7 linked regions of the Sus scrofa genome follow. The protein of the gene in region 1 purifies or fractionates together with the protein of each later gene. This does not show direct contact. Links are inferred from orthologs where the notes say so. Each region holds a gene or a part of one and is shown in the gene's direction. Other genes may lie near its edges. The genes, in order: AURKA, CALCOCO1, PPP6C, PPP6R2, WDR62, MTMR3 and PPP6R3.

Region 1 (3,775 bases):
CTGTTGCAGAACTGTAGAGACATACATGACTGTGTGAGTATTTTGAAGGTGTTAATAGAATTATTGCACTTGGTCTTCATGATAGAGCTTGGCTGTATTTTCCTCTGCTCTCAATGTCTGAACTGTCTAGACTCTGGAATGTCGTAGGAGCCAGGAATGAACCCACAGCCTTCTTTGCTCTCGATGCCTAATAGACTTCCCAGGAATCTATATCTGGTGGTTCTCGCCCCCCGACCCTGTGGGATCCATCCCGCTGGCTTGACGGGAGTGATGCTCTACCCCAGTGTTGGCGCCTCCTGGGCTAGAGGAGGCTGTGGTTAGTCTGATTGGGCTTGCAGGTGGTTTTTTTTTTTTTTTTTTTTTTTTTTTGGTCTTTTTGCCTTTTCTAGGGCCGCTCCTGTGGCATATGGAGGTTCCCAGGCTAGGGGTCGAATTGGAACTGTAGCCACCAGCCTACATCAGAGCCACAGCAACTCGGAATCCCAGCCGAGTCTGCAGCCTACACCACAGCTCACGGCAACGCCAGATCCTTAACCTGAGCAAGGCCAGGGATTGAGCCCGAAACATCATGGTTCCTAGTAGGCTTCGTTAACCACTGAACCATGACGGGAACTCCTCGCAGGTGGTTCTGAAGCAGTCTTCCCTTTCCAGTTACTCCTCTAATCCTTTTCATGGACTTAAGTGGTGTCAGTAATAGGTCCGTGCTCCAGAACTCAGGATGCCTTGAGACACTCCCAGGGAGCTTCAACTCTCAAAGTCCAGACTATTCTTGTCGCAGACTCGTGGGGGCGGGGTGGCGGTGCAGGGTTTGATGTCTGTGTGGACTCATTCATTGTGGTTATTGGCCTCTTGAAGAGGGTGCATACCGAATGCAACTTTGAATGTGAAATTATCTATAGAATAATATATATATTTTATAAATAATATAAATAATTTATAGAATGTGTGCTACTCACTCATACATTGTTAGAAAAGTGTTTTCTTCACATTTTAAAATGTTCAATTCTTTTCTAGAAGGCAATGGGCTTTGGAAGATTTTGAAATTGGCCGCCCGCTGGGTAAAGGAAAGTTTGGTAATGTTTATTTAGCAAGAGAAAAACAAAGCAAGTTTATCCTGGCTCTTAAAGTATTGTTTAAAACTCAGCTGGAGAAGGCAGGAGTTGAGCATCAGCTGAGAAGAGAAGTAGAAATACAGTCCCACCTTAGGTAAGTCTTGAGGTCGATGTCAGAAGAGGGATGGATGGAACTTGGTTATTTAACGAGCTCACTGTAATAACCTCCTTTGGAGAAGGCTGCCTTCCTAGCACTGCAGAGAGTGATTAAATTTGACACTCTTCAGAGGTTGATTTAGACTTAAGTGCTGTGGTCCTGGAACATTGCTTGAAGGTTTGTTTTGTTATTGGAGTAATTTACTGGACATGTTTTTTGGGGGTTTTTTTGATTTGGTGGATAATTAAAGGGAATGACACCTCTTTTTTTTTTTTTTTTTTTTTTTTTTTTTGAGTTCAGGTTTCAAACTGGCAGCCTGCAGGTTGACTTAAGCCAGTGGGTCTTTTCTTCTTTTTCGCTTTCAGTGAATTTTTTGGTAATGTCTCATATAGGCTGTGCTCAGCTGCCCAGAGTCCTTAGCAGCACACCTGCTTTTGTCAGACATGGCTTCTGTGTTGTCTGTCTCATTGTGTCCAGGGTATCAAACTACTGTGGGGATGCCATGTCTACCTTTTGTTTGTTTTGTTCTTTTTTTCCAAATTTGCAGAGACTTAATATTTACCTAGTTTTTTTCCCCCTAAGAGCAAAGATGGCCTAAAGGAAGGAAATAGTCTTAGCCAAACAAGGTCCATTGATACCGTGTGAAATGCGTGTGAACTGATAGGCGAGGTACACCTGTTTCTTACGGTGCGTCTCATCCGTAGTTTCAGACTCTCCAGGTGGGAGGGGAGGGTGTTTGTGGCCAAGAAGCAGTTGTCATGACTGGGTTCACAGGAGGGGTTTGTTTGCTATTCAGTACTTATTCTTGTATCAGCTCCCAAACCCGGTGTTAGAGAGTTCGTCCTTCTTGCAGGCATCCAAATATTCTCAGACTGTATGGTTATTTCCATGACGCTACCAGAGTTTACCTAATCCTGGAATACGCACCTCTCGGAGCTGTCTATAGAGAACTTCAGAAACTGTCAAAGTTTGATGAGCAGAGAACTGCTACTGTAAGTTTGCTTTTGTTGTCCAGACTAATTCTGTTGCGCTTCTGTCCCGCGTAGCCGTGTACCTTTCATTATAATAGAGGGGGTTTTGTCAAATGGAAAGGTAGCTTAATAGGATCAAGTATTTGAAATGGAAAAATCAAAAACAACATAGATGTGCCTTTATTTACAGATAAAATCAGTTACCAAGTGGAATATTTGGTTAGTTTCCACAGCTGTGTCTGTGGAAATGTATATAATTAGTTGCCCTCTTTAAAAAAAAAAAAGAAAAAAATTATTTTAGATTAATTTTAGATGTATAGAGTAATTAGAGATACTGCAGACTTTCTCCTATTAACACACACCTAATTTCTCCTATTAACATTTTACGTTAGCGTGATCCGGTTGCCATAACTAATGAACCTGTATTGGTGCATAGCTGTTAACTGGAATCCACACTTCTTTCAGATTTCCTTCATTCTTCTCATGGTTAGATCAGGGTCATGGGTTTTGAGAGGAAGGTCCGAGGGAAAAGGCCTTCTCCTCTGTCAAGAGTTACACTGTTAACCTGACCTAGCCCTGAGTGTTGGCCTCATCCCTGGCGGAGGGAGGGAGGGAGTGGCAACGCTCTCCACTGTGAAGTTACTCTTTTTTCCTCCCTGTCGTGCTGTGTCCTTTCAAAGGAACAGCCCTTGAGTGGTCATGTTCCATGTCCTATAAAGCAGAGCATGGTCATAATTATTGGGAATTTTGTACCAGAGATGTATCTGTTTTCCATTATTTACTCCATCATTTATTGCTATGGACTCATTTTATACTCTGTGTAATCTAATACACTTTGCTCTCGTTGTTTCAGCTTTGGCCACTGGGAGCTCTTTGACATGGTTCCCGTGTCCTTTTGACATGTCCCTGTCAGTGTGTGTGTGTTTAAAAGCACTTTCTTGTTTTCTGGTGCCGTAAGGTGTTCCAGCTCCATCTTATACGTTTCCTATCCCAGTCTTGTGATCGGTTATTTCTCCAGGGAGCTTTGGTTCCCTTTACTGGAAAAGGTAATGTTAGAAACCAAAATCTGGGCACTAGATGTGCTCGTGCTATTGCGTGTTAAAACGTCTCAGCTTTCAGCTGACAGAGAGCCAGGAAATAAGTGCGTATGGTAATCCATGTATCTGAAACTATTTCTGTATCCATCGGTATCTTGCTAAGCAACACATGAGTCCATTGTCACACGGATCCTGTGTCCTCCCCCCTCGTTTATCTGTAACCTTCCACTGTGACATTGAAAGAACTTGGATTCACGATCCGCTGTCCATTTATTCATTCAATTCCAGTGGACGTGTATATGGTGTATATGCTACTAGAATTGGTAACCAGTTACCCTGTGGAAAACCAGTTACCATATAACCACATATGTTACCATATAACATTTGAGATTCATTTGTAACTTTTCATAGCTCATTTCTTTCTTTCTTTTATCTTTTTAGGGCCACACCCATGGCATGTGGAGGTTCCCAGGCTAGGGTTCAAACCAGAGCCACACCTGCAGGCCTACGCCACAGCCACAGCAACGCCAGATCCAAGCTGTGTCTGTGACCTACACC
Region 2 (3,775 bases), on another chromosome or scaffold:
GACTTCACCAGATGAGGGGTTCCTGCAATTGCTGGGCAAAGGAGGGGCCAGGCCTTGGGTGGGAAGAGGTAAGGGGTTGGGCAGTTAGAGTGCCGCGAGCTGGTGTATCTGATGGGTGGTGGGCAGGATTCAGTCGCCTACCAGGCCTCTCCTGACACCTACTCCTACCCTGGACTGATAACTTCGCAGCCCTGAAAGGTATCTGCAGAGTGGTGGGGATGGGACCTCGCAACGGGCACTTCATGGGCAGAACCCCCCCCACCCTTTTCTCATCTTGTCCCCTGTAGAACCAGCTGGATGAAAGCCAGCAAGAGAGGAATGACCTGATGCAGCTGAAGCTGCAGCTGGAGGGGCAGGTGACGGAGCTGAGGAGCCGAGTACAGGAGCTTGAGACGGCCCTGGCAACCGCCAGGCAGGAGCACGCGGAGCTTTCGGAGCAGTACAAGGTGGGGGTTGGGCCTTTGGAGGGAGGGGCCTGGATACACACTTGGGGTCCAAAATCTGAACCCAGGGGAGACGTTAGTGGGCTGTTAAGATGATTCTGACATCAAAGATACAGATTTGGGAGTTACTGTTGTGTCTCAGCAGAAACGCATGTGCCTAGTATCCATGAGGATGCAGGTTCGATCCCTGGCCTTGCTCAGTGGGTTAAGGATCCTGCATTGCCGTGAACTGTGGTGTAGGTCACAGATGCGGCTTGGATCTGGCATTGCTGTGACTGTGGTGTAGGCCATCAGCTACAGCTCTGATTTGACCCCTAGCCTGGGAACTTACATGTGCCGTGGGTGTGGCCCTAAAAAAACCGGAAAAAAAAAAAAAAACCTACAAGTTTAAGACGTCACAAATAGGCTTCAACTGGTTATGACAGGAGCTATGTCCCAAATTTGTAGTGAGACTCAAGTTCTTGGATCACAGGAATGCTGAGTTAGGATGGAGGTGGCCATAAGCACCAGGAAGGGAATGTTTCTTTTACAAGGAAGGTGACCAGGTAGGAAGTGGATAGTCGAACGCAGGAATCCTCCTCCGAAGCCTTTGCTCCACTCTTTGAGAGATGAGTCTCACCTTCTTCCTTCCTGGGGAACCTTAATTCCAGGGGCTTGCCCGGTCCCATGGCGAGCTCACGGAAGAGAGGGACATCCTGAGCCGGCAACAGGGAGACCACGTGGCCCGCATCCTGGAGCTGGAAGAGGACATCCAGACCATCAGTGAGAAAGTGCTGACGAAGGAGGTGGAGCTGGACAGGTGAGGGGACCTCCTCGAACCCCACTATTTCCCTTCCCTTCCTGTCACCCTGGATCCCCAGCCTCCCATTTCAGGCACGCAAAACCTGGTCTCTGGAGTTCCTGTCATTGCGCAGCGGAAACGAATCCAACTAGGAACCATGAGGTTGTAGGTTCGGTCCCTGGCCCCATTCAGTGGGTTAAGGATCTGGAGTTGCCGTGGGCTGTGGTGTAGGTCGCAGACGTGGCTTGGATCTGGCGTGACTGTGGCTGTGGCTGTGGCCGGCAGCTGTAGCTCCAATTAGACCCCTAGCCTGGGAACCTGCGTATGCCGTGGGTACGGCCCTAAAAAAGACAAAGAGACAAACAAACAAACAAAAAAAAACCAAACCTGCTTTCCATCTCACATGGTTTCTCCTTCCCTTCTCAGCCTCACTCACGGTATTCTACTTATTGGGGCTATCTTTTTCTGCCAAGCTCTCTTCCATATTTCCTAACCTGTTCTGTATTCCTTGAGAAGTACTCGTGGTTACTGTTTATTGTGCGGCAGATACTAAGCAGGAGCTGGGGTGGAGGACTGGAAGAAGAGAATGGACGGAATGGCCAAGGCAAGATAGGAGAGGATGAATTTCAGATTTTACCCCAGCAAAGCATGAGATTAGACTCTGTTCTCTCTATTAGGAAATGTTAGAACTGGTGATTCAGAAATGTTACGGGATCTCTGCCCTGAAAAAAGGTACAAATCATAGAATCTTAGCAATGGGAGGAATGTAAGGTATTTAAGAGGGTATGTGAGAGAAGATCACTACCTCAAAAGGTAGCCTCTTTCTTTCTTTCTTTTTTTTTTTTTTTTCTTTTTTATGGTTGTACCCATGGCCTGCGGAAGTTTCAGGGCCAGAGATCAAACCTGCATCGCAGCAGCGACCCAAGCTGCCGTGGTGACAACACCAGATCCTTAACCTGGTGTACCGCAGGTCAACTCCAGCAACCTCTTTTCAACGTCAGACAGCCATCATTTTTATTTCTCTTATAACGTAACTACCCTTCTATAACTTTCACTCACTGGTCCTGGTTTAGACCTTTGGAGCCACATGAAATAAATTTCTTCTGCCAGACAACTATTATTTCTACCAAATAGCACAAATATTGGCCACCTCTCATTCTAGTCCTTCAGATTTTTACATCAAATGACATAATTAAGTTTCTTTCATTCATTACTGGTATAGATTTGATGGGGTTTTTTTTATTTTATTTGTTTTTATCTTTATTTTGTTTTATTTTATTTTTTTGCCTTTTCTAGGGCTGCACCCACAGCATATGGAGATTCCCAGGCTAGGGGTGTAATCGGAGCTGTAGCTGCCGGCCTATGCCAGAGCCACGGCAATGCTGGATCCTTAACCCACCAAGCAAGGCCAGGTATCGAACCTGCAACCTCATGGTTCCTAGTCGGATTCGTTAACCACTGAGCCACGACGGGAACTCCTGATGTTTTTGTTTAAAAAAAAAAACTCTTGGAGTTCCCGTCGTGGCGCAGTGGTTAATGAATCCGACTAGGAACCATGAGGTTGCGGGTTCGGTCCCTGCCCTTGCTCAGTGGGTTAACGATCCGGCGTTGCCGTGAGCTGTGGTGTAGGTTGCAGACGCGGCTCGGATCCCGCGTTGCTGTGGCTCTGGCGTAGGCCGGTGGCTACAGCTCCGATTCAACTCCTAGCCTGGGAACCTCCATATGCCTTGGGAGCGGCCCAAGAAATAGCAACAACAACAACAAAAAGAAGACCAAAAAAAAAAAAAAAAAAAAAACAAAACTCTTTAAAGGCAAAGGCATGCTGTCCAAGACCAGGAGTAAAAGGAGGGTTGATCCCTGAGGCTTCTTCAGTCCAGGATATGTTAGTCTTGCCCTGGCGAGATACTAAATGTCTAGGTTCTAAATCACGAAATAGAAAAGTAGGGATCAAACCAAGCATCTGGAAAAGATCAGGGACTGTCTACACAAGGGGTCAACAAACTATGGCCCATGTGCCAAATCCAGCCTGCCACATAGTTGTTTTTTTTTTTTTAATGGCCGCACCCATGCATATGGAGGTTCCCAGGCTAGGGGTCAAATCAGAGCTGCAGCTGCCATCCTACACCACAGCCACAGCAATGCTAGATCTGACCTACCCCACAGCTCATGGCAATGTCAGGTCATTAACCCCCTGAGCAAGAACAGGCATCAAACCCACGTCCTCATGGATGCTAGTGGGATTCATTACCACTGAGCCAGGACAGGAACTCCTGGCCTGCCACATAGTTTTGTATAGCCCACAAAGGTAAGAATGGTTTAGAGAATTTTTTTTGTTTTTGGCCAGAGCATGCAGAAGTTCTCAGGATAGGGATCAAACCCAAGCCACAGCAGTAACCAGAGCCATAACAGTGAGAACACTGAGTCCTTAACCACTAGGCTACCAGAGAACTCCCTTGACAATTTTTAATGATTGTAAAACAAAAAAATAATATTTTGTGATATGAAAATCATATGACATTTAACTCCATTATTCATAAATAAAGTTTTATGG
Region 3 (4,460 bases), on another chromosome or scaffold:
GGCCTACACCACAGCCACAGCAACACAGGATCCGAGCCCCATCTGCAACCTACATCACAGCTCACGGCAATGCCGCATCTTTAACCCACTGAGCAAGGCCAGGGATTGAACCTGCAACATCATGTTCCTAGTTGGATTCGTTAACCACTGAGCCATGATGGGAACTCCTCATCCACCTCTTTATTGATTCTTAAATATGCATTGCTAGAACTCCCTTACTCGGCTTTTTTTTTTTTTTTCCCCAGCACCTACCACTTTCTAATATACTCTACGGTTATTTACTATAGTTATTATTTACTGTCTCCTTTACTAGAATATAGCTACAGTTAGAGGATAGGGATCTTTGTTTTGCCTGCTGAATACCCCAAGCATAACTGTACTTGGCATTTAGTTAAGTGTTCAATTAATAGCTGTTGAGTGGGAGTTCCTGTGTGGCTCAGCCTAGGGTAAGGAACTCAACTAGTATCCATGAGGATGCAGAATTGATCCCTGGCCTCGCTCAGTGGGTTAAGGATCTGGCATTGCCCTGAGCCCTGGTGTAGGTCGAAAATGTGGCTGGGATCCCAAGTGGCTGTGAGGTAGGCCGGCAGCTGCAGCTCTGATTTGACCCCTAGCCTGGCAACTTCCATATGCCAAAGGTGAGGCCCTAAAAAAAAAGAAAAAGAAAAAGAAAAAGAAAAAAAGCTGTTGAGTGAAGAAATGTTGAAAGTATACTAAGTGCCAGGCTCTGTTTTTGGTGCTGAGAGTACAACAACAACAAAAAACCTCTCAGCTCTCGTGGGACTGAAGTAGACTTAAACCAACCAGACCTATTCCAATCTTGGCTTCCCGACTATTCCCTATTGAGATCAGATTAAGAGTTACATAACCTCTCTGAGCCTTCCTTTCCTATCACTTGTTATGAGGATTACACGGAAAAACAGCATTTGTATAACGATTAGCATAAGAAGTGCTTAGTATTTGGTCCTTTTCTTTCCAGCCTGGAAAGTTGGTAACCTATCTGTCAAGGGTTCAGCCAAGGTTTTCACAGGGCCTTGGAAAGGTGCGAATAGGTTGCTACGATGGCCAGGCTTATCCAATTTTTAACTGAAGACATTCTGGTGAGAGAATGCTTAAGAAGGTCGGCGTGAGAAACTAGGGAATGGCTAGGTAGAGTCACCTACTTCGCTGTTTTGTACCGGAAAAGCCTCGCTGGGTTCCGCAGAGGTGAAAGTCCAGAGGAAGAAAAGAAAAAGAAGACTGTTTGGTACTTTGGAAAACTACAAATCCCAGCAACCCCCGCGGCAGACCACTAAGGGTCTCAGCCGGTCTTGCTCTATGCAAACTGGGGGCCTCTAAGGGCCCGCAACCTGGTTTTAGCCGGCGAGGGCGTGGGGCGTGCCAAGGCAGCGGGGAAAATCGGGTCAAACTTTACGCCGCTGCGCAGACGCCTCTCACAGGCCGGATGTGACGTAGGGAGGGTTCCGGCTTCGGCCTCCGCCGCTGCCGCAGCTAGTAAAGCCGCCGATATCGCCGCCGCTGTCGGGGCTTGTTATTTCTAAAATGGCGCCCCTGGACTTGGACAAGTATGTGGAGATAGCGCGTCTATGCAAGTACCTGCCCGAGAACGACCTGAAGGTGAGCCCGGCCGAGGCGGGAACGCTGCTTTCGGGGCTTGTCCCTTCCGGCAGTGGGGCGCCCGCCGGCCCGCCCTTCCTCTCTCCGCGGGACCCCCGGCGGGATCCTGTCCCGTCACGGTGGAAGGCCTAAAGCGGTGCAGAGGGACCCGGTCCGACTGGACGTCACGCGGGGAGAGGAGGGGAGCCCGAGTCTGCCGAATGCTGTCCCGGTTCCCTCCGCGGGGTTCCCGAGGGATGTGTCACGGCCTCTGCCCCAGAGTTGCCGCTCCTGGCCTTGGGGCTGCCCCAGGGCACCGAGCCCTAACAGCTTTGCTTGCAAGACCCCCTTTCCTTCAGCTCGACCCCCGGTCTTCCGGAGTCCGAGCCGGGCCCCCGCGGGGAGTGGCCTGGGTTCATTCCTCCAGGAGCGGGACGGGAACGCGGGGTGCCGGCGTCTGACAGGAGATGCCGCCGGCCGCCGGCACGCGGCCCCAGTGTGTTTCTTTCCCTGAGAAATGAGGGTGGGAAAGGGCTGATGGGGGTCCGAGCGGTTTGATGGTGATGCGAGAGGACGTCAAGTCGTCCCTCTTCCGGACCGCTCACTTCTCCCGGTTGCTTTTTAGGAGTGTTGGTCTTCTTTCGCTAATTACAATATGACCCTGTTTTCGAGTACACTGTTGAGCTAATTTATGTGCATAAAGTAGTGGGCTCTCGATAAATATACTTTTCTGTCCTTTAAGGTGTTTCCCCCAAGTCCCTTCTTAGCTCTTTTCGTTTTCTTGGTTTTTCAAAGGAGATGAGTCGTTCCTTGTACTGCCGAGTCCGGGTAACAATAAATGTGTGTTTGGGTAAAGAAATGAGTGGAAGAATAAAGAGAGATAAGTCTTTGGGATACTGCTTTTTAGACAGGTGTTGCAATGCGTTTGTTAAAACCAGTGCTCAAGCGTCTAGCAGTGTTTGAGCCATTAGTACTAGCGCATGTTTTATGTGTTAAGCTAACCTTGATTTGATGTGTGGAGCATGCACAAACTGTTGATACTTTTGAGTCCTTTTTATTCTTGAAGCTCTGGGTTTAACGTAATTTATTATTGTCCATTAACTTTTTTTCCCCTTAAGGAAGATATTACTGGTTTTTTCTTTTCCTCATAGATACTGGTCGGCTTCGTTATCACTGAGCCATAGCGGGAACTCCCTTGGATTTTCTTTCGACTTCTTAGTTTGATAAACATTAAGTTTCCTTCCCAACCTAAGAAAATATAGTTTTTAAACCATATCATTTCTCTTTGCAACACAGTTGGACTGCACTTAGTGTGTATCTGTTCTTCCCCCCCGCCCCCCCCCCCCCCCGGCCAACTACTAGAAAAAAAAGAGTTCTGATTTTTTTCTATGTAAGTGGAGGCTTCTCTTCTTTGTCTTGGAAATGTTTTTATCAGATTAATTTTCTTGTACTGCATCTCTTGTGTATTTAAAGAAATTTAATTTTATACCTCTTGGCATGAAGTACAAACTAAAATTAAGCCTGCCAAGAAAGTATTCCAGGAGCACTTTTTCTGAGGCGTTAAAGCCAAAGTAAAATATTCCATCAAAGGAACGAAATAAATAATTGGGGCCACTTAATGATCATCATGGAAAAAGATTTGTTCTGGTAGAAAAAGACAGAAATTTACCTGTGTTTTAAATTTAGTTGGAGGTACTAAATGAAATAAATGCGGGGAGTTCCTGTTGTGGCTCTGTGCAAACGAATCTTATTAGCATCCATGAGGACAAAGGTTCGATCCCTGGCCTCGCTCGGTGGGTTAAGGATCTGGTGTTGTCATGAGCTGTGGTGTAGGTTACAGATGTGGCTTGGACCTCACGTTGCTGTGGCTGTGGCATAGGCCAGTGGCTGCAGCTCCTGTTCGACCCTTAGCCTAGGGACCTCCATATGCTGCGGGTGCGGCTCTAAAAAAAGAAATGCGTAGGATGTTCCAGATCTAATCATGAAATCTCTATATTTAAATTGGAAGTGGTTAGATTGCTAGTCCTTGAACAAATCTACTTAACTGTTTTGAAGGAATAAGGATGATATGTGCAAGTGAGTGGACCAAAGCATAATCTTTCTTAAAAAAGACTTCATGTGATTCTCATCCACGGTAAATATCTCACAGTGTATCATAGAAGGTGTAGATTCCATTTGTGGCCAGTTGGAAGAATGAATGATAAAATGCAGGTTTATTGAATATTTAGACTTTAGAATTTTGGCAGAGGAGAGATTCTATGACTTGGAGATTGTCTGATCTCTCTGACAGTTCTCAAAGGTGCCGCGTAAGTAAAGAAGTTGCACACTGAGTTGGTGTTCATTTTTTTTTACTGAAGAACTGAAGATGGTTTCTGTGGTAGGAGTTTGGAGAATATTAGTGTCTATCTCATGTAATACAGGGAAAAATAACCACCTTTATGGATAATAGTTAATGTAATCTTTTGGAGACTCACTTTTATGTTTAGTTTGAGCCATCTCTGAGTTTTTCATATAAGGCCACCTGCTCTGCAAAGTCATACCTGTTTGAAGTGCCTTCGTAAAGCTTCAAAGAATCCTCCCTTGCTGTTTTCTGAGATTTGATGAACTACTATCTCACCTCCTTATTCAGCCTCTATCTGATCTTATAGATTCTTATATATGGTAGACGTGATCATTCCAGACTTAAAGTCTTCTAGTCTTGTCATTCACCTTATTGCCTGTCTTTTTGATCGTTCTGTTTACCTGAGTTATTTAGTTCTGTATATTATCTTTCTTAAGGTATTTCAAGGAAAATCGAAGACAGTACAGCAGTTAGGGACACAGCGTGGCTTTATGTATGGCTAGAATACAGTGTTGTGCAGATT
Region 4 (3,775 bases), on another chromosome or scaffold:
TCTTTTCTTTGGCCTTGTCCGCAGCATGCGTAAAGTCTAGGACAGGAACCTGAACCGTAGCAGTGTCCACACCTGATCCTTAACTGCTAGGCCAGCAGGGAACTCCTAAACAGTATCTTTTTAATTGAAATTTTGCACTGAGATAATTGTAAATTCCCATGCAGTTATATGAAATAAAATAAAGATATCTTTTGTACACTTTGCCCAGTTTCCTTCAATGGTGACATTTTGTGAAACACTAGTGGCAGATCACAGCCAGGAACTGACACTGAGAGAATCCACTGACTTATTTAGAGTTCTCCCCTTTTACTTGTAGTCTCGTGTATGTGTGTGTGTATTAAGGTCGGAACAGTTTATCACTTGTAGGGGTTTGTGTCTCCACTGTCACGTCCAAGCTATTGAATGGTTCCCAGAGGGCAGAGACCCTTTGTATTGCCCTTTATAGCTCCTCCCTCCTTCCTCCTTCCTCCCTCTCTCCCCCATCACCCGTCCCTAACCCCTGGCAACCACTAAGCTGTTTCCATTTCTGAAATTTTATGTTCAAGTGTTATTTAAATTAAATCATATAATGGGTGTTCCTGTTGCAGCTCCATGGGTTAAGAACCTGACACGTGGGAGTTCTTGTCGTGGCTCAGTGGTTAACAAATCCGACTTAGGAACCATGAGGTTGAGGGTTCAATCCCTGGCCTTGCTCAGTGGGTTAAGGATCTGGCATTGCCGTGAGCTGTGGTGTAGGTCACAGACTCAGCTCGGATCCCACGTGGCTGTGGCTCTGGCGTAGGCCAGCGGCTACAGCTCTGATTAAACCCCTATCCTGGGAACCTCCATATGCTGTGGGAGCGGCCCTAGAAAAGACAAAAAAAAAAAAAAAAAAAAAAAAAAGAATTTTTGCGTCTTTGGTTATCAGTGAGACTGGGTTATAATTTCCTTTTCTTAAAAGTGTCCATATCAGGTTTTGGAATTGAGGTTTTTTGTCCTTATTAGGGTATATGCTCTCATTTTATGTTCCCTGGAAGAGTCTTGTGTAAGATTGGGTGTTTCGGAATTCCCCTAGGGGAAACAAATCCCACTGGTAGCCAAGAAGTTGCGGGTTTGATCTCTAGCCTCCTCAGTGTGTGGAGGATCCAGTGTTGCCGTGAGCTGTGGTGTAGGTCGCGGACATGCCTCGGATCCTACATTGCTGTGGCTCTGGTGTAGGCCGGCAGCTGCAGCCCCGATTCGACCCCTAGCCTGGGAACCTCCATATGCTGCAGGTGCCGCCCTAAAGAGCCAAAAAAAAAAAAAGATTTTTTTTTTTTTTTTTTTTCCCTATAAATGTTTGGTAGAATTCACTAACCAGCCCATTAGAGCCTGGAGTTTTCTCTATGGGGAGGCTTTTAATCGTAGCTTTTGTTTCTTTGATGCTCTAGAACTCTTCAGATTTTCTCTTCTCATCAGTCCACTTAAGTGTGTTTTCATTTTCCCAAATTGACGTAGATGGGCGTATTGGCGTTTGCATCTGTAGGGTGTGTCGGGATGCCCGGAGCCATTCTGCTGGGTTTTCAGGCTTTCTCTCTGGCAGTTTCAGTCACTCTTCACCCAGAACCTGCTCTTCCCCGCTCTCCCTCTTCCTGCTGGGCCTCTCCTCACTCTTCCTCCCGCCACCCCCTTCGCCTCCAGCACGAGTTTGGTGGAGACCTTAGCTGGGTGGGCCTTCTGTGTGTCCCCACTGTCCCCGGCAGAGTTCTGGGTGTGCCTCCGCACAGTGGCCTGGACACACAGGCGTTTCATCTCTGTGGCCCACCTAAGCTCAGCGCCCAGCCCCGCCCGCGGCTGCACACCCAGCTCTCCACGCCTTGCTAGCTAGCACCAGTCACCAGCCAGCCGACCCTCCGCCTCTGCTGCAAAACCTCAGTCCTTTCCCTCCAGCCACCTGTGGGGCTGTCAGCCCTCCAGATTTGTGTCCCGTGTCCAGGGCTGTCAGCACAGACCCCACCCCTCACCCCCACCGCCCTGACTCAGCACAGTCTGCACCTGTCATGTGTGGGGTTTTTTTGTTTTTGTTTTTTGGTCTTTTTGTCTTTTTAGGGCCGCACCCATGGCACATAGAGGTTCCCAGGCTAGGGGTCTAATCGGAGCTGTAGCTGCCAGCTTACGCCACAGCCACGGCAACGCCGGATCCTTAACCCACTGAGTGAGGCCAGGAATCGGACCCACGTCCTCATGGATGCTAGTCAGGTTGTTTCCACTGTGCCACAACGGGAACTCCTGCACCTGTCATCTGTGCTGGAAAAGCTCGAGCCAGTGCGTTTGGAGTGGTCGCCGTGCACAGCAGCTTGGGCCATCCCACGTGGGTGTTCCACTCATGTTGTCACACAGCCTCAATGTGCAGCAAACCCCGCCAGCCCGGGTCCTCTTGTGCCCCCGCCGCCTGGTGGGCTCGCCTGTGTGTGGGTCTTGGCCTGTCCTGGGGTAACCTCTCTTACAGTTGGTCGTAGCTCTCCACGTTTCTGCTCGACATTGTTGAAAGCAGGCTTGCGCATGGCTGTTCTCGGGGCCACCTGCGCGCCTCTCAGGGCTTCTGGTTTCAGGTGATCGTGTTCCTGAGGAAGAAGGACAAGTTCATCAGCCTGGTGCTGAAGCACATCGGCACCTCGGCCCTCATGGACCTGCTGCTGCGCCTGGTTAGCTGCGTGGAGCCCGCTGGGCTCCGGCACGAGGTCCTGCAGGTGAGCCTGAGGCCCCGCCTCCCCAGAGCCCCTCTCCTCTGCGCGGGATCTCTGGCACTAGGAGGCTGCCTGGCACCCCAGCTTTCTCCACCTTCCTCCTGGGATGGGTCCTGGGTTCTTGCCAGGGCTCGTAGTCGAGGCCAGGGCTGGCGTCTCTGCCTTTTCTGCTGTCCTGCCTCACCTGTTTATGAGCAGAGAGCAGAAATAGGCTTCCTCACTTCTGCCCCACCCGTGGCGCCTCTGGGCTCAGTCAGGTGGCCACTCTGTGCCCAGTCGGGTGCCTGAGAGGAGGCACTTGCTGACGAGGATTTGCAGGCAGAGAAGTTGGAAAGCCCGGAGTCAGCCTGTTTGTCCTGAGCTGTGTGCCTGTGGCCGCCCTGGCAGTATTCTCAGCGAGAGGCACTGCCCGGGGCTCCCAAGGGCTTTCCCGGCAAAGAGGAGGGTTCTCAACCCAGAGAAGCCCAGAAATCAGGGCAGGACACGCTGTTCGCTGGGGGTTGGTAGGTTTTGTTTGTCATGCAATTTAAAATTAAGTAAGTACACCATTGGTCCTTCTTGCTGGTTTTCCTGCTCCTGGAATTAGGTGACAGTTGTCATCAAGGTGGCAGGTCTCACTCTTAGAGTCCTAAGTGGCCTCGTTAGGGAGCGCCTCCTACCGCGATGTTCTGGTAGAGGTCCGTCAGCACAGGCCTCAGCCTCCGGGCCTTGGCGGGAGCCTCCCCCGCCTCTGCGCCGAGCAGTTTTGGGGTAAGGAAGTGCCGGCCTGTCCAGGGAGCCCCTCCTGACCGGGACAGAGGCGAGGCCGGCCTGGGCGCGGGGCGGGGAGCCAGCAGAGGCGCCTGAACTGTCAGGACCCGTGGACGGGGACGCCCTCCCTGGTGACCTCGGGGCCTCTGCTCTGCTCTCTGGGTCTGGGTGGCCCTGCCTGCTGCTGAGGAATCGCTCTTGGAACCTGGCAGGTGGATTTCTGCGGCCCCGAGGGGCTCTCCTGGGTAGGTGTGAGCAGAGCCTTGGACCGGCGTCCTCTTCTCTTTCAGTGGCTCAACGAGGAGAAGGTCATCCAGCGG
Region 5 (3,775 bases), on another chromosome or scaffold:
CCCACCTCCTTATCCCCTTTACAGCCAGGGACACAGCCAGTAGGTGCAGGCCTGGTATTTGGCATAAGGCTGTCCTTCAAAGCCTGTGCTCAACCCAGCAATTGAAGGGATCCCTCCAAGACTGGAAAGATTGAGTGTGGAGATCCCTGGCCATGAGGAATTCCAAGAGAAGAGCATGTAGGCCTCATGGGGGTTTAACTGATTAGAACCTAGGAACATATTCAAAACTGTATTCAAGAAGAATCCGGAGTTCCCGTCGAGGCGCAGCAGAAACGAATCCGACCAGGAACCATGAGGTTGCAGGTTTGACCCTTGGCCTCGCTCAGTGGGTTAAGGATCCAGTGTTGCCATGAGCTGTGGTGTGGGTCGAAGATGCTGCTCGGATCTGGTGTTGCTGTGGCTGTGGTGTAGGCTGGCAGCTGTAGCTTCGATTAGACCCCTAGCCTGGGAACCTCCATGTGCTGCAAGTGTGGCCTTAAAAACCAAAAAAAAAAAAAAAAAAAAAAAAAAAAGATTCCATTCATGGAGAGAATACATCTGTGTACTCCAAGTTCTCAACCATGAAGAGTTTCCTTCACATAATCTTGCGGCTAAGAATGTACTAATGTGCCTTGGTTTTCTCGCTTCCTGCCCTGCCTCTGTCTAACTAAGGTGGTCAGGAGCTGGGCCAAAACGGGTCAACAATATTTGCAATGTCTTAGTGAGGATCTAACAAAAGCTCATCTGCTCAGACTTCTCAGACATCCTTAAAAGACCATTCTTTCCACAGGGTAGTTAGAATTGTTCAGTAAACCTGGAAGTTTGGCCAGCAGTGACCTCACCTTTAAAGAATGGTCTAGATCCTAGAGAGGTGATGACTGCCCAAGAGGGTGGCCCAAGAGTCAGTCCTTGAGGCCACCTTCAGAAGGTGTGGGCCTCTGGTAAAGTCCCAGCCAGGCTGAGGAGGCGCATCCTAAAGCAAACTCCTGTGAACCCTGCTCCGACTGGGCTGGCTCGCCTGGGCCTTGTCCTCAAAACGTTGATAGTTCATAGAAACTGGGCTCCAGCCAGTCAGAAACTGTCTGGAGCTACCTAGCTAAAAAAATGAGTCAGTGAAATACACATCCAAAAATACACAGAAAACCTGTTACTAGTTCACAGACTCCTTCAGTGAGTGTCCACATCAAGGGTCATAGCTGGTAGGTTTGAACCATGCCAGACACGCATTGTTTACAGCCAGCAACTGTTCTGATTGGTCCTGGTCCCAGTATTGCTAAATACTTGGACTCACCACCCTGGGTAAAGAAGCAAAACATTACCAGTGACTTGCAGGCCCTCTCTGGGTCCCTCCTGGGTCCCAGTCCCCCTCCCTCCAGCCCCCAACACACACCCCCTTCCGTGATCTGCTAACTCCTGCCTGAGCAACACCTTAACTTGCATGTCAGGCCCGGACGCTCTTCAAAAGTCCTGTCATGAAGGAGCAGTGTGTTCTGTCTTTTCATTCTCACTACAACTCTCTGAGGTATTTGTGCTGTGATTATTGTTATTTTATAAAGAAAGAAGGATAAAAGCAACGCCACGCCAGTAGTGCTTACCAGGTGGCAACCATTGTCCCTAGAGCTTCACGCCGCTCCACGGTGAAGGAGGCTCGTTAAACAGGCTGGAAGCTGAGGCTCAGAGAGGAAGCCTGGCTACAGAGCAGTGTTTAACCAGAGCTTGCCTGGGTTCAGCCCTGGCCCGGTCCTGACGCTGCACCCTGGGACAAGGACTGTGTGACGCTGAGCCCCTGGGTTCCCATTTGTGCAACGCAGTGGCTGGTGACAGGAAGGGGAGGCGCAGGCAGTGCAGGCCCTGGACCGAGGAATGTGTGGATATTCTGATTGTTCTTGATAGTGTGAGCCTCCCAGAGGTCTGCCTGTCTCCTCTCTTCTGTTCAGTCCCACCTCCATGCTGCAACCCAAGTCACCTCTCCAAATCCCACATGAAACATGGTGCCCCTGCTGCGTCCTGGCCTCTGCTTCCCTACCTGCTGTTGCTCTGCAGAGGCCTGCAGCCCACTGCTCCCTGTGTCCCCACACACACACACGGCTCTACCACTCACCGCACCTCTTCCACGAACCCCAGCACTCACCTCACCTCTTCCACGAAGCCCCCTCTGACCCCCAGCAGAGTTCCCTTGCGGTAGTTTCCCTAGCTAGGATCTGCAGCCCAGCGGTGGCCCAGCCCTGCCTAGTACACTGCTCCTTCCTCCAGGCAGCAGAGACATCCAGATGATCAGCTGTGGTGCCGACAAGAGCATCTACTTCCGCAGTGCCCAGCAGGTAGCGTGGGGTGGCCTCCTTGGGGTAGGGGGCTTGTCAGGGGCGTCCTCTGAAGGCCCTGCCTGCCCTGCCAGGCCTCGGATGGACTGCACTTCGTCCGTACCCACCACGTGGCAGAGAAGACCACCCTGTATGACATGGACATTGACATTACCCAGAAGTATGTGGCCGTGGCCTGCCAGGACCGCAACGTCAGGTGAGGGCAGTCCTGGCTTCTGAGTTGGCTTGGCCTGGGCTGGTTTCTGAGCGGGGCCTGTAGGGGCCTAGTTGGGCCTGTCTTCTCATGGGCTGCTTGCTTTCCTCCTGCTTATCTGGTCCCTGAAGCAGGGTGGGGTGGAGGGACCGTGTGGGTGTTTCTTAGGAGCTGGGCTCACCCAGGTCAGCCGAGGGTTCCCCTGGCTCTCAGGAGCCTGTGTGGGGTGACTGAGAGGTGCTGATGTGGCTCGTAGACTTATTCACTCACCCTTGTTTCCTGAGCAGCTGTCTAGAAGGGACAGTGGGAAAGTCATGTGGAGTGGAAGAGAGAGAACCTCCCCAGACTGTGACAGCACAGAGTGACCAGAGCTGGGACAACAGGAGCTTGTGGAAAGGGCCTGTTGGAAGGGACGGCTGAGCTTAGCCCGGGAGGATGGGGAGGAATGAGCATGTGCAGAGAGCTTCTCCACCACCTTCATTTGCTCATTCGAACTGGATGCCAGGCCCTCAGCTTGCTATGGACGGGGAGGCAGACATGAACTCAAGGGACACCCAGTACATAGCCTCTGTGACCCAGCCTGGGATGAGGTCACATTCCCCGGCATGGGGTTTCAGCCCAGACATTAGATGGGGGATAGGAGGAATGGGGACTTCCAGGGGAAAGGAGGGAGCAGGTAAGGCTGGATCCAGAGGACAGGAGAGGGTGAGTGGGCAGGGCCAGGTTAGTCACTTATGCCCCCCACCTTCCTAGAGTCTACAACACCGTGAACGGGAAGCAGAAGAAGTGCTACAAGGGCTCCCAGGGAGATGAAGGGTCCCTGTTGAAGGTAAGAAACTGGGGCTCCCGGGTGAAAGCCGCACACACAGCCACACACAAGGCCCCCCTCTCTGTCTTCTCCCCTGCTAGGCCGCCTGAGACTTGCGTCCTCCTTGGCACCTGATCCGTAGATCACACCCTGGCCAGTATCCACTAAGGCCTGGCTGACCAAGGATGCGGGGAGCCAGCCCTGATTGCTCTACCTTTATTTACTGAACCCTGCCCCAAGCGGAGCCATTTAAGTGGTTTCCATCTTGAGTGTCAGTAGAGCGGGGTGTGGGAAGAATCCGAGAGACCTGGGGTCCCTCTCCAGCCTTGCTCCCTGCCTGTGTCATCCAGGACGAGGTGGGAGCCTTCTTAGGGGCCTCTGGACAAGGAGTTTAGGCTTCAGGGTCAGACCCTCTTAACAGCTCTGCCTCAGGCTGCCTGTGACCTTGGGCAAATGTCATCTATTCTCAACCTG
Region 6 (3,775 bases), on another chromosome or scaffold:
CATATGCCACAGGTGGTGTGGCCCAAAAAGAAGACAACAAAAAAATAAAACATAATGCAGACTGTGTCATTACTCTGTCAAGAAACCTCTGATGACTTTCTGTTTCACACAGAATAAAAGTCAGTCCTTAAAGTGGCCTGCATGGCTCTCAGGTTACCCATCTAGGCTCATTTCCTCCTATCCTCCACCTCATACCGTGTCCTTCAGTCTCAGTACACTGGCCTCCTCAGTTCCTCAGAAATTGCTAGCCTGTGCTCACCTCAAGACCATTATGCTTGCAGTCGACTCTGGCTGGAGCAGCCCCCCACCCTGTCCCGAAAGTGCAGTATGACCTGTGCTCTCATTTCCAAAAGATTCCACTAGTGAGGGCTTACGCACTACCCTGTGTGTGCTCTGTCCCTCTTACCCTGCCTTATTGTTCATAGACCTGGTTACCCCTCCCCCACAACTAGAGCAAGCTCCACCAGGGCAGTAGAGCTATCTTCTCATTCTGTGGGTGCCTATCCAGCACCCATAGAAATGTCTAGGGTATGTGAGATGTTCAATAGCAACTTATTGAATTAAAGTTGTTGAGAAATGTGCTTTTAGTTCAGACTTGGGTTGCACAACTGCTCCTGGGCCCAGTTTATATGAGTGGCTGTTAATTAGGACCTCAGAGACTGTGCCAAGGAGGCCAAGAGGATGGGGGCGACAGCACTGTCTTTGCTTTCTTGACTCAGGAGTGACAGTGGTTGGGGTTGTGAGGAGGCTGCGATTGGGTGGCTTACTTGGTTGCCCCATCTTTACCCGTTATGAACTGAAGTACACATCAAGGATGTTGGGGAAGGTGGCTCAGCTACGCTGACCTTCCCCAGAAAATGTGTATCCACTGCTTGATTTTGCCTCATTGGACTCCCACAGGTGAAACTGGTGCAACATACCTATTCCTGCCTCTTTGGAACATTCCTGTGCAACAACGCCAAGGAGAGAGGAGAAAAGCATACTCAGGAACGGACATGTTCTGTGTGGTCGCTGCTTCGGGCGGGCAACAAGGCTTTCAAAAACCTACTGTATTCCTCTCAGTCAGAAGCCGTACGTATCCTTTAGCCTTTTCTCTCTGATGAGCAGGATGAATTTGGGGATGAGGATATACGGGAGCCTTTTTGAGAAGTGACTTTCCTTGAAGGCCTCTAATTGTCTCTGGATGGGTTGGTTCCATTTTTTTCCCCCAACCACTCTGCCTAAGAAAGATGCTGATACTTTCTGGTGATGCTCTGCCTTGCTTCTGACTACTCTTTGTTTAGGGCAGTTAGATTTAATACCATCTCTACTTTGCCGCTCTAGATATTAGTCTTTTACGCACCTCTGCCAGATCTTAACTTACTCTTAGCATGTTCTGTTCACAAGAGGAGGAAGCACTTAAGTTGTTCCCTGGATGCCCCTGAGAGCACAGAAGGAGCTGCCATTAGGCCCCCAGCACCCTTCCAGTGTCAGCAGACAATAATGCCCTCTATAGCTTCTGTCTCAGAAAACAGAAAACTTTGTGACACTAGTGTGTGCGTCTGTGTGATTCTCTAGTCACATGGAGAAATGGCAGGCCCTTTAAGACTTTTTTCCTCAAAGGAACAGAGGAAAGGAAGCACTTAAATCTGTGCATTAGTACGTGGTACCATTCCCTTAGTGAGAATGCATCTGAAATTCTAAAGTCACAAGGAGGCTAATCAGGAGTTAAATTGCTTTGCTAGACTATTAATTAATGTCTTAGTACAATTAGGTAGTTCAAGGAAAGATTGAAGCTAGCTGCTTCTCTCTCTTCTCTGCCTGGTGGGGAAGTAACAATACATAAGGAAAATTCCTTCCTTTTCTTATAAGTAAGTTAGATGATCCTTTAAAACAGGTTTGACATGTCTTTGGAAGCCAAGCTTTTTTAACAGGGAACAATCATCATCTAGCAGAATGACTCACTTGAGCCGTAAAGCAACAAAGTAGACTGAGAAAAGCCAGTCATTCAGTAAAGATGACCTAGAAATGACTAATGAAAAATGGATTAAAAATTTTTTTTTGACATTTTCACAGCCATAGGGGCTCTTAGATGAAAAATCCCACCAACCCCAATTCCTAGTTCTCTATAGGTCCTTTTGGGAGATAGAGCTGCATCTGCACCCACTGTCACTAATGCCCTTCAGACTGTACAGGACTGCTGGGCATTTCTACTTGGTCTTTATTCTTCACCCTCATTTCTGGATGTTTCTGACAGACTTGTTGGAACTCATTTAACCTGCCCACTTGCACTTTCCTTAGGTGCTGTATCCTGTGTGCCATGTGCGTAACCTGATGCTATGGAGTGCGGTGTACCTGCCCTGCCCATCCCCGTCTACCCCTGTGGACGACAGCTGTGCACCATACCCAGGCCCTGGCACCAGCTCTGAGGATCCGCCCCTGAGTCGGTGAGCCCTGAGGCTGATGCCAAGACCTCAGATCCTTTGTGGTTGTATTCTTGTGCTACGCTATATATACCCAGGGATGATTGGAGATCATGACATTGTCAAGCTGCACACATTTCATTGATCTTTGAAGTTTTCTTAGGGAAAGTGTAAGGATTTTGGGCTATGAGGCTGTAAAAACCTCATTTTCTGTAGAGTATTGGGCCCTGTTGCTACATGGCTCTGCTGCATGCACCAAGCAGTTTCTCAAGTGGTGTTTCTCTGGGTGTTTACTGTTTGTTTTGCAGCACATACAGCATGCAGAAGTTCCTGAGCTAGGGATTGAACCCAAGCCATAGCAGTAATGCTGCCAGCTCCTTAAACTGCTGAGCCACAAGGGAACTCCTCCTCTGGGTTCCTTGTGACTCTCTAGCTTGAATTTCAGCAATTGCTCTGTGTTGCTGCCTCTCTGCTGTGATTTGTTGTCTTGGGCTTATAAAGGCAGATGACTTCAGATGATAAAAAGTTTGACTTTGCAACGTATGAATTAGCTTATTGAATTCAGTCTGATAAATAATAATTAAAAATATTGTAATAGCAGAAAATCAGCACTGCTACTTTACTTTGCCACTAATTGAGAAACAGCAGTATCATGAAGAATGTTTTTTTATTTATTATTATTTTATTTATTTATTTTGCTTTTTTGGGCCACTCCGTGGCATATAGAGGTTCCCAGGCTAGGGGTCTAATCAGAGCTACAGCTGCCGGCCTACACCACAGCCCCAGCAATGTCAGATCCTAGCTGCATCTGTGACTACACCACAACCACAGCTCACGGCAGTGCTGGATCCTTAACCCACTGAAGGAGGCCAGGGATCGAACCCATAGCCTCATGGTTTCTAGTTGGATTCATTTCTGCTACGCTACGATGGGAACTCCAAGAATGTCTTTTTTTTTAAGAGAGCATTTGCTGTTAGCTTATTTGTATATGTTGGGTATAGTGTAGGTGTGGTGCCAGAGGAATAGAAGGACTCATCTTGGAGCTTCATCTTCCTGCAGTCTAAGCCTCACCCTAGATATGCCATGGCTCCTTGAGTAGCTGTGATGAAGCTAGTTATGAAATGACTGTTGAAATGTATTGTCTCCCACTTCCCTCTGGATAGCCTCAGATTCTCATTTCCCCCAAACTTTCTTTAGGCTACCAAAGACTAGATCATTTGACAATCTGACCACAGCCTGCGACAACACAGTGCCTCTCACTAGCCGGCGCAGCAGTGACCCGAGCCTGAATGAGAAGTGGCAAGAGCACCGGCGTTCACTGGAACTGAGCACCCTGGCTGGTCCTGGAGAGGAGCCTCTAGATCCTGACAGCT
Region 7 (3,775 bases), on another chromosome or scaffold:
CGGCCTTGCTTCAAAACTGGCAGTGCTTCCTGTTACCCAGGAAGGCCTTTTTGACGCCGTTCTGGAGGCTGAAACCCAGCTCTGGAGGTTGGGCTCAACTCCATCACAAGCTCAGAGCTTAGCAGAGCCCGCGGGTTGCAGATGCCGAAAGCAGAGAGCCAGAGGGGAAAGGCAGACCCTCTGTCCTCTCACTCTGTCGCCTGCTCGCCGTCTTCCGGCGGAAGGCCTGGGCTGTTCTCTCTGCGACGTAGTTCAGAGCAGCCTGCGGCCGCTGGGGTCGTCCTACGTGCCAGGGGGCCGAGGGCGCAGAGCCGGAGGAGCTGCAGAGGCCTTCCAGGGACTGGGATGCTTCACGAGCACAAGGAGGGACTCGTCCCTTGGAAAGAAAAGCAGCTAGTGTGGGAGCCCAGAGGCCCACCGGCGGTTCGACACAGCTCGTGAGGAGGGGGAGATGGTGGGAGCGAAGCCGGAGGCCAGAACGAGAGTTTTATTCTGAGAGCTGTAATCCTCCTGCCGAGGATTTTACTGAAAATAACGTTATTTGATCTGTTTGAAGATGATCATGCTTGGCAGCAGTGTGAAAGCTGAATGAGAAAGCACACACTGGAGACAGGAAACCTGAATTAAGAGATTTACCGCTACGTGTTCGGAACGGTGAGGGCTGATCAGAACAGGAGCCGGGCGGCAGGGAGAAAGACAGGCCGGAGGCCTTGATCCTTTGGCTCGAGAGAGTGTGTGTGTGTATGTGTGTGTGTGTGTGTGTTCACAGGTATGGCTCAACACTGTTAAGTCTATTCACGTAGATCCTCTAGAACTTTTTCATCCTGGGAGCCCCAAGCTACACCCGTTCAACAACCCGTCCATGTCCCCCGCCCCAGCTCCTGGCCACCGCATGCTACCTTCTGTCTCTGAAATTGACTCCTGGAGTGTTTGTCTTTGCGTGACTGCTCCATTTCCGTAACATGACGCTCTCCGGGTTCATCCGTGTTGGGGCATGTGACACAATTGTATTCTTTTTTAAGGCTGAATAATATTCCAGAATCTGTGTCTCGGAGAGAGACACACACTTGAGTGTGACTCTCTGGGTGGGGGTGGGGGTGGGGCGAGATGGAGGGGGACGTTTGGATGAAGGTCACATTCACCCCGTCCCACTGGGGACAGCCCTGGGGGCTCCTCGCCCCAACTGCTCCCTGGAAGGGCTTCCTTTGTGCTGGCAGGTCTCCGGGAGTCGGGGTGGGGCTGGGGGCGGGGGGCCCTCCCCGGGGCTCTGAGCTGCCCTGTCCCCTGGCTCTGAGGGCCTCACACCCCGGCGGGGGAAGGATGTCGCTTCTTTGGGAGCTTCTCTGGACTGCTGAGGAGAGTTTCTGATTGGACTAGTTCTGGGAGCGCGTCTGGGAAAGACTGCCCCAGAGTGGTAGCAGCAGGAGAGTCTGTGTGCGGCCTGACTTAGGAAGGGGGACTTTGCGGATGGAATGAATGCAGAACTTTGCGAGTGGCGGGCAGGCAGAAACGCCTGTGAAGATTCCTGTCGGTTTGACTTTTCCGAGGTTGCAGGTGGGATTTTCAGGCACTGAGGTGGCGTCCTTCTGGATGTCAGCGGTCCTGCCACACGTATGCGGGTCCCTGGGCAGGAAGCACGAAACCAACCCTATTCAGTGCCTGCTGGGTTCCATCCCCGGCCTCGCTCAGTGGGTTAAGGATCCAGCGCTGCTGCGAACTGCACCGTTGGTTGTGGATGTGGCTCGGATCTGGCATGGCTGTGGTGTAGGCCGGCAGCTGTGGCTCCAGTTCAACTCCTAGCCTGGGAGCTTCCCTATGCTGCAGGTGAGGGCTTGAGAAGACAAAGAGCAGGCAAACAAAAACAAAAAGCAAAACAGTAGCAGCAGATGAATGGGCAGATTCCGAGAGGAACAGGACACGGTCCGGAAGGGTCTGGAGCACAAGAGCCCCTGTGTCCGCGGAGCTGGTGCCGTGCCGCCCTCTGTCTGCCAGCCCAGAGGAAGCCTTGCCCTTTGGGGTTTTATTGGAGCCTCATCAAGCAGGTGTGGTTGATCAAATCATTGATCATTCAGTTGATCAATCATTGATCACTTCCAGTCCCTCTACCCTTCTAGAAGGTGGAGGCGGGGAGCTGAGAGTTTCAACCTTCTCATCACCTGGCTTCCCCACACACCCACCCTCGGGCCCTCCAGGCCCCCCAGCCACCAGTCACCTCACTGGCATACCCGAACAGCTCGGCACGTCAGAGATTTCAAGGCTTGAGGGGGTGGGCGGGCAGGGGCCCACTAGGTGTTTCGTACTGTGTCGTAGGAATCCTTGCTCTCGCTTGTGCTCAAGGTTGTAGACTGCAGGGAGGCCGTCAGAAGCCGCAGTGTGACGGGCCCGGGTGTGGACTGGGAAGCACTGAGGTTGTTTCCAGCTGACTGCAGTTGAATAGGCAGTGTGCTTTTAAAAAAAATAAATTTTTTCTTTTGGAATAATTTTAGATTTACAGAAAAGTTACAAAGATTGTACAGGGAGTGGCTGTGTACCTTTCACCCGTTTTCCTCTCAGTGTTGATGTAACCTTGGTGCATTTGTCAAAATTAAGAAAGTAATATCAGGAGTTCCCATCGTGGCTCAGCGGAAACAAATCTGACTGGTATCCATGAGGACGCAGGTTCGATCTCTGGCCTCGTTCAGTAGGTTAAGGATCTGGCGTTGCTGTGAGCTGTGGTGTGGGTGGCAGATGTGACTCGAATCACGAGTTGCTGGGGCTGTGGTGTAGACCAGCAGTTACAGCTCCGATTCCACCCCTAGCCTGGGAACTTCCATGTGCTGCCGTGAGTGTGGCCCCCCCCAAAAAAAAAGAGAAAGAAATTAGCTTCAGCATATTCCTCTCTGTGTGGCTTTGAATTCTTGTGTGATAATTTCTATTGGGAAAAAAAAATCATAGGAAAGGGAATTGCTAAGGGCTCAAAGGAAACACAGTTTTATGACAGGATAGATGTTATCAAGTTGCTCTCCCAGTGACTAAGTGTTTTAGAATAAATACTCCTTGCCCCACAGCTGCGGGGGTGGGGGTGTTTTGTTTGTTTGTTTTATCACTGCACATCTGCTTTTGAAAAATAACTTGCATTCGATGAAACGACTGAAGTATTTATTCTCAAGGTGAAATTCCTCCCTCTCTAGCGCCCAGCTGGTCAGCCAACTTTGACGTCCCCATGGAGACCGCCCACGGTGCTGCCTTGGACTCCGTGGGGTCTGACGTCTGGAGCACAGAGGAGTCAGTGCCAACGAAGGAGACAGGCTGGGCCTCCTTTTCAGAGTTCACGTCCTCCCTGAGGTGAGCCTGGGTGCCGGCCCCCCAGACCTTCCTCCCCGAGAACCGGGGGTGCCATGTGTGCTCTCGATGCTGTTTGTCACCTTGATTTTCCTCCACGTGGACCAGGCGCCTCAGACAAGATGGACAGGCAGCACTCGGCGAAGAGGCTGTCTAGGAGAATGAGGCTCCCTCCTCCCCCCTTTCATCGAGGAGGGGCTGGGAGAGGAGGCCGACCACTCAGCTGTCAGGATGGCCTCTTCGGGGCTGTTCCGGTCCCAGCCCACTGTCAGAACAGGCCTGGGAACAGGGTGCAGGCAGGGACCTCCTGACAGGCACCTCTGCCTGGAGCATTGCAGAAAAATGCAGACTACAGCTTGGATTTAATAGCTACTCTGAACCTGTATTTCATGTGTAGCTGGTCTAGTGCTGAAAACTAAGGGGGCAAGCGGCACGGCCCTCGGTCTCTTGGTGG

Evidence for each region.
Region 2: the proteins of AURKA (region 1) and CALCOCO1 purify together in Homo sapiens (affinity purification with mass spectrometry; 3 studies listed by BioGRID and IntAct, counting the BioPlex papers as one, with this or other methods). This does not show direct contact. The link is inferred for Sus scrofa from reciprocal best matches to the Homo sapiens genes AURKA and CALCOCO1.
Region 3: the proteins of AURKA (region 1) and PPP6C purify together in Homo sapiens (affinity purification with mass spectrometry; 4 studies listed by BioGRID and IntAct, with this or other methods). This does not show direct contact. The link is inferred for Sus scrofa from reciprocal best matches to the Homo sapiens genes AURKA and PPP6C.
Region 4: the proteins of AURKA (region 1) and PPP6R2 purify together in Homo sapiens (affinity purification with mass spectrometry; 4 studies listed by BioGRID and IntAct, counting the BioPlex papers as one, with this or other methods). This does not show direct contact. The link is inferred for Sus scrofa from reciprocal best matches to the Homo sapiens genes AURKA and PPP6R2.
Region 5: the proteins of AURKA (region 1) and WDR62 purify together in Homo sapiens (affinity purification with mass spectrometry; 3 studies listed by BioGRID and IntAct, counting the BioPlex papers as one, with this or other methods). This does not show direct contact. The link is inferred for Sus scrofa from reciprocal best matches to the Homo sapiens genes AURKA and WDR62.
Region 6: the proteins of AURKA (region 1) and MTMR3 purify together in Homo sapiens (affinity purification with mass spectrometry; 3 studies listed by BioGRID and IntAct, counting the BioPlex papers as one, with this or other methods). This does not show direct contact. The link is inferred for Sus scrofa from reciprocal best matches to the Homo sapiens genes AURKA and MTMR3.
Region 7: the proteins of AURKA (region 1) and PPP6R3 purify together in Homo sapiens (affinity purification with mass spectrometry; 6 studies listed by BioGRID and IntAct, counting the BioPlex papers as one, with this or other methods). This does not show direct contact. The link is inferred for Sus scrofa from reciprocal best matches to the Homo sapiens genes AURKA and PPP6R3.

What each region holds. Positions count from the first base shown.
Region 1 is NC_010459.5:56,958,725-56,962,499, reverse strand, and holds part of AURKA (aurora kinase A), read left to right. Parts: intron 1-1,014; coding exon 1,015-1,206; intron 1,207-2,062; coding exon 2,063-2,201; intron 2,202-3,775. UniProt on the Homo sapiens protein: Mitotic serine/threonine kinase that contributes to the regulation of cell cycle progression.
Region 2 is NC_010447.5:18,920,354-18,924,128, reverse strand, and holds part of CALCOCO1 (calcium-binding and coiled-coil domain-containing protein 1), read left to right. Parts: intron 1-287; coding exon 288-446; intron 447-1,093; coding exon 1,094-1,242; intron 1,243-3,775. UniProt on the Homo sapiens protein: Functions as a coactivator for aryl hydrocarbon and nuclear receptors (NR). Recruited to promoters through its contact with the N-terminal basic helix-loop-helix-Per-Arnt-Sim (PAS) domain of transcription factors or coactivators, such as NCOA2.
Region 3 is NC_010443.5:265,895,131-265,899,590, reverse strand, and holds the start of PPP6C (serine/threonine-protein phosphatase 6 catalytic subunit), read left to right. Parts: upstream 1-1,444; 5' UTR 1,445-1,542; coding exon 1,543-1,617; intron 1,618-4,460.
Region 4 is NC_010447.5:307,001-310,775, reverse strand, and holds part of PPP6R2 (serine/threonine-protein phosphatase 6 regulatory subunit 2), read left to right. Parts: intron 1-2,570; coding exon 2,571-2,708; intron 2,709-3,745; coding exon 3,746-3,775. UniProt on the Homo sapiens protein: Regulatory subunit of protein phosphatase 6 (PP6). May function as a scaffolding PP6 subunit. Involved in the PP6-mediated dephosphorylation of NFKBIE opposing its degradation in response to TNF-alpha.
Region 5 is NC_010448.4:45,456,819-45,460,593, forward strand, and holds part of WDR62 (WD repeat-containing protein 62), read left to right. Parts: intron 1-2,232; coding exon 2,233-2,300; intron 2,301-2,374; coding exon 2,375-2,496; intron 2,497-3,246; coding exon 3,247-3,322; intron 3,323-3,775. UniProt on the Homo sapiens protein: Required for cerebral cortical development. Plays a role in neuronal proliferation and migration.
Region 6 is NC_010456.5:47,010,973-47,014,747, forward strand, and holds part of MTMR3 (myotubularin-related protein 3), read left to right. Parts: intron 1-900; coding exon 901-1,071; intron 1,072-2,280; coding exon 2,281-2,426; intron 2,427-3,599; coding exon 3,600-3,775. UniProt on the Homo sapiens protein: Lipid phosphatase that specifically dephosphorylates the D-3 position of phosphatidylinositol 3-phosphate and phosphatidylinositol 3,5-bisphosphate, generating phosphatidylinositol and phosphatidylinositol 5-phosphate.
Region 7 is NC_010444.4:4,408,194-4,411,968, reverse strand, and holds part of PPP6R3 (serine/threonine-protein phosphatase 6 regulatory subunit 3), read left to right. Parts: intron 1-3,170; coding exon 3,171-3,324; intron 3,325-3,775.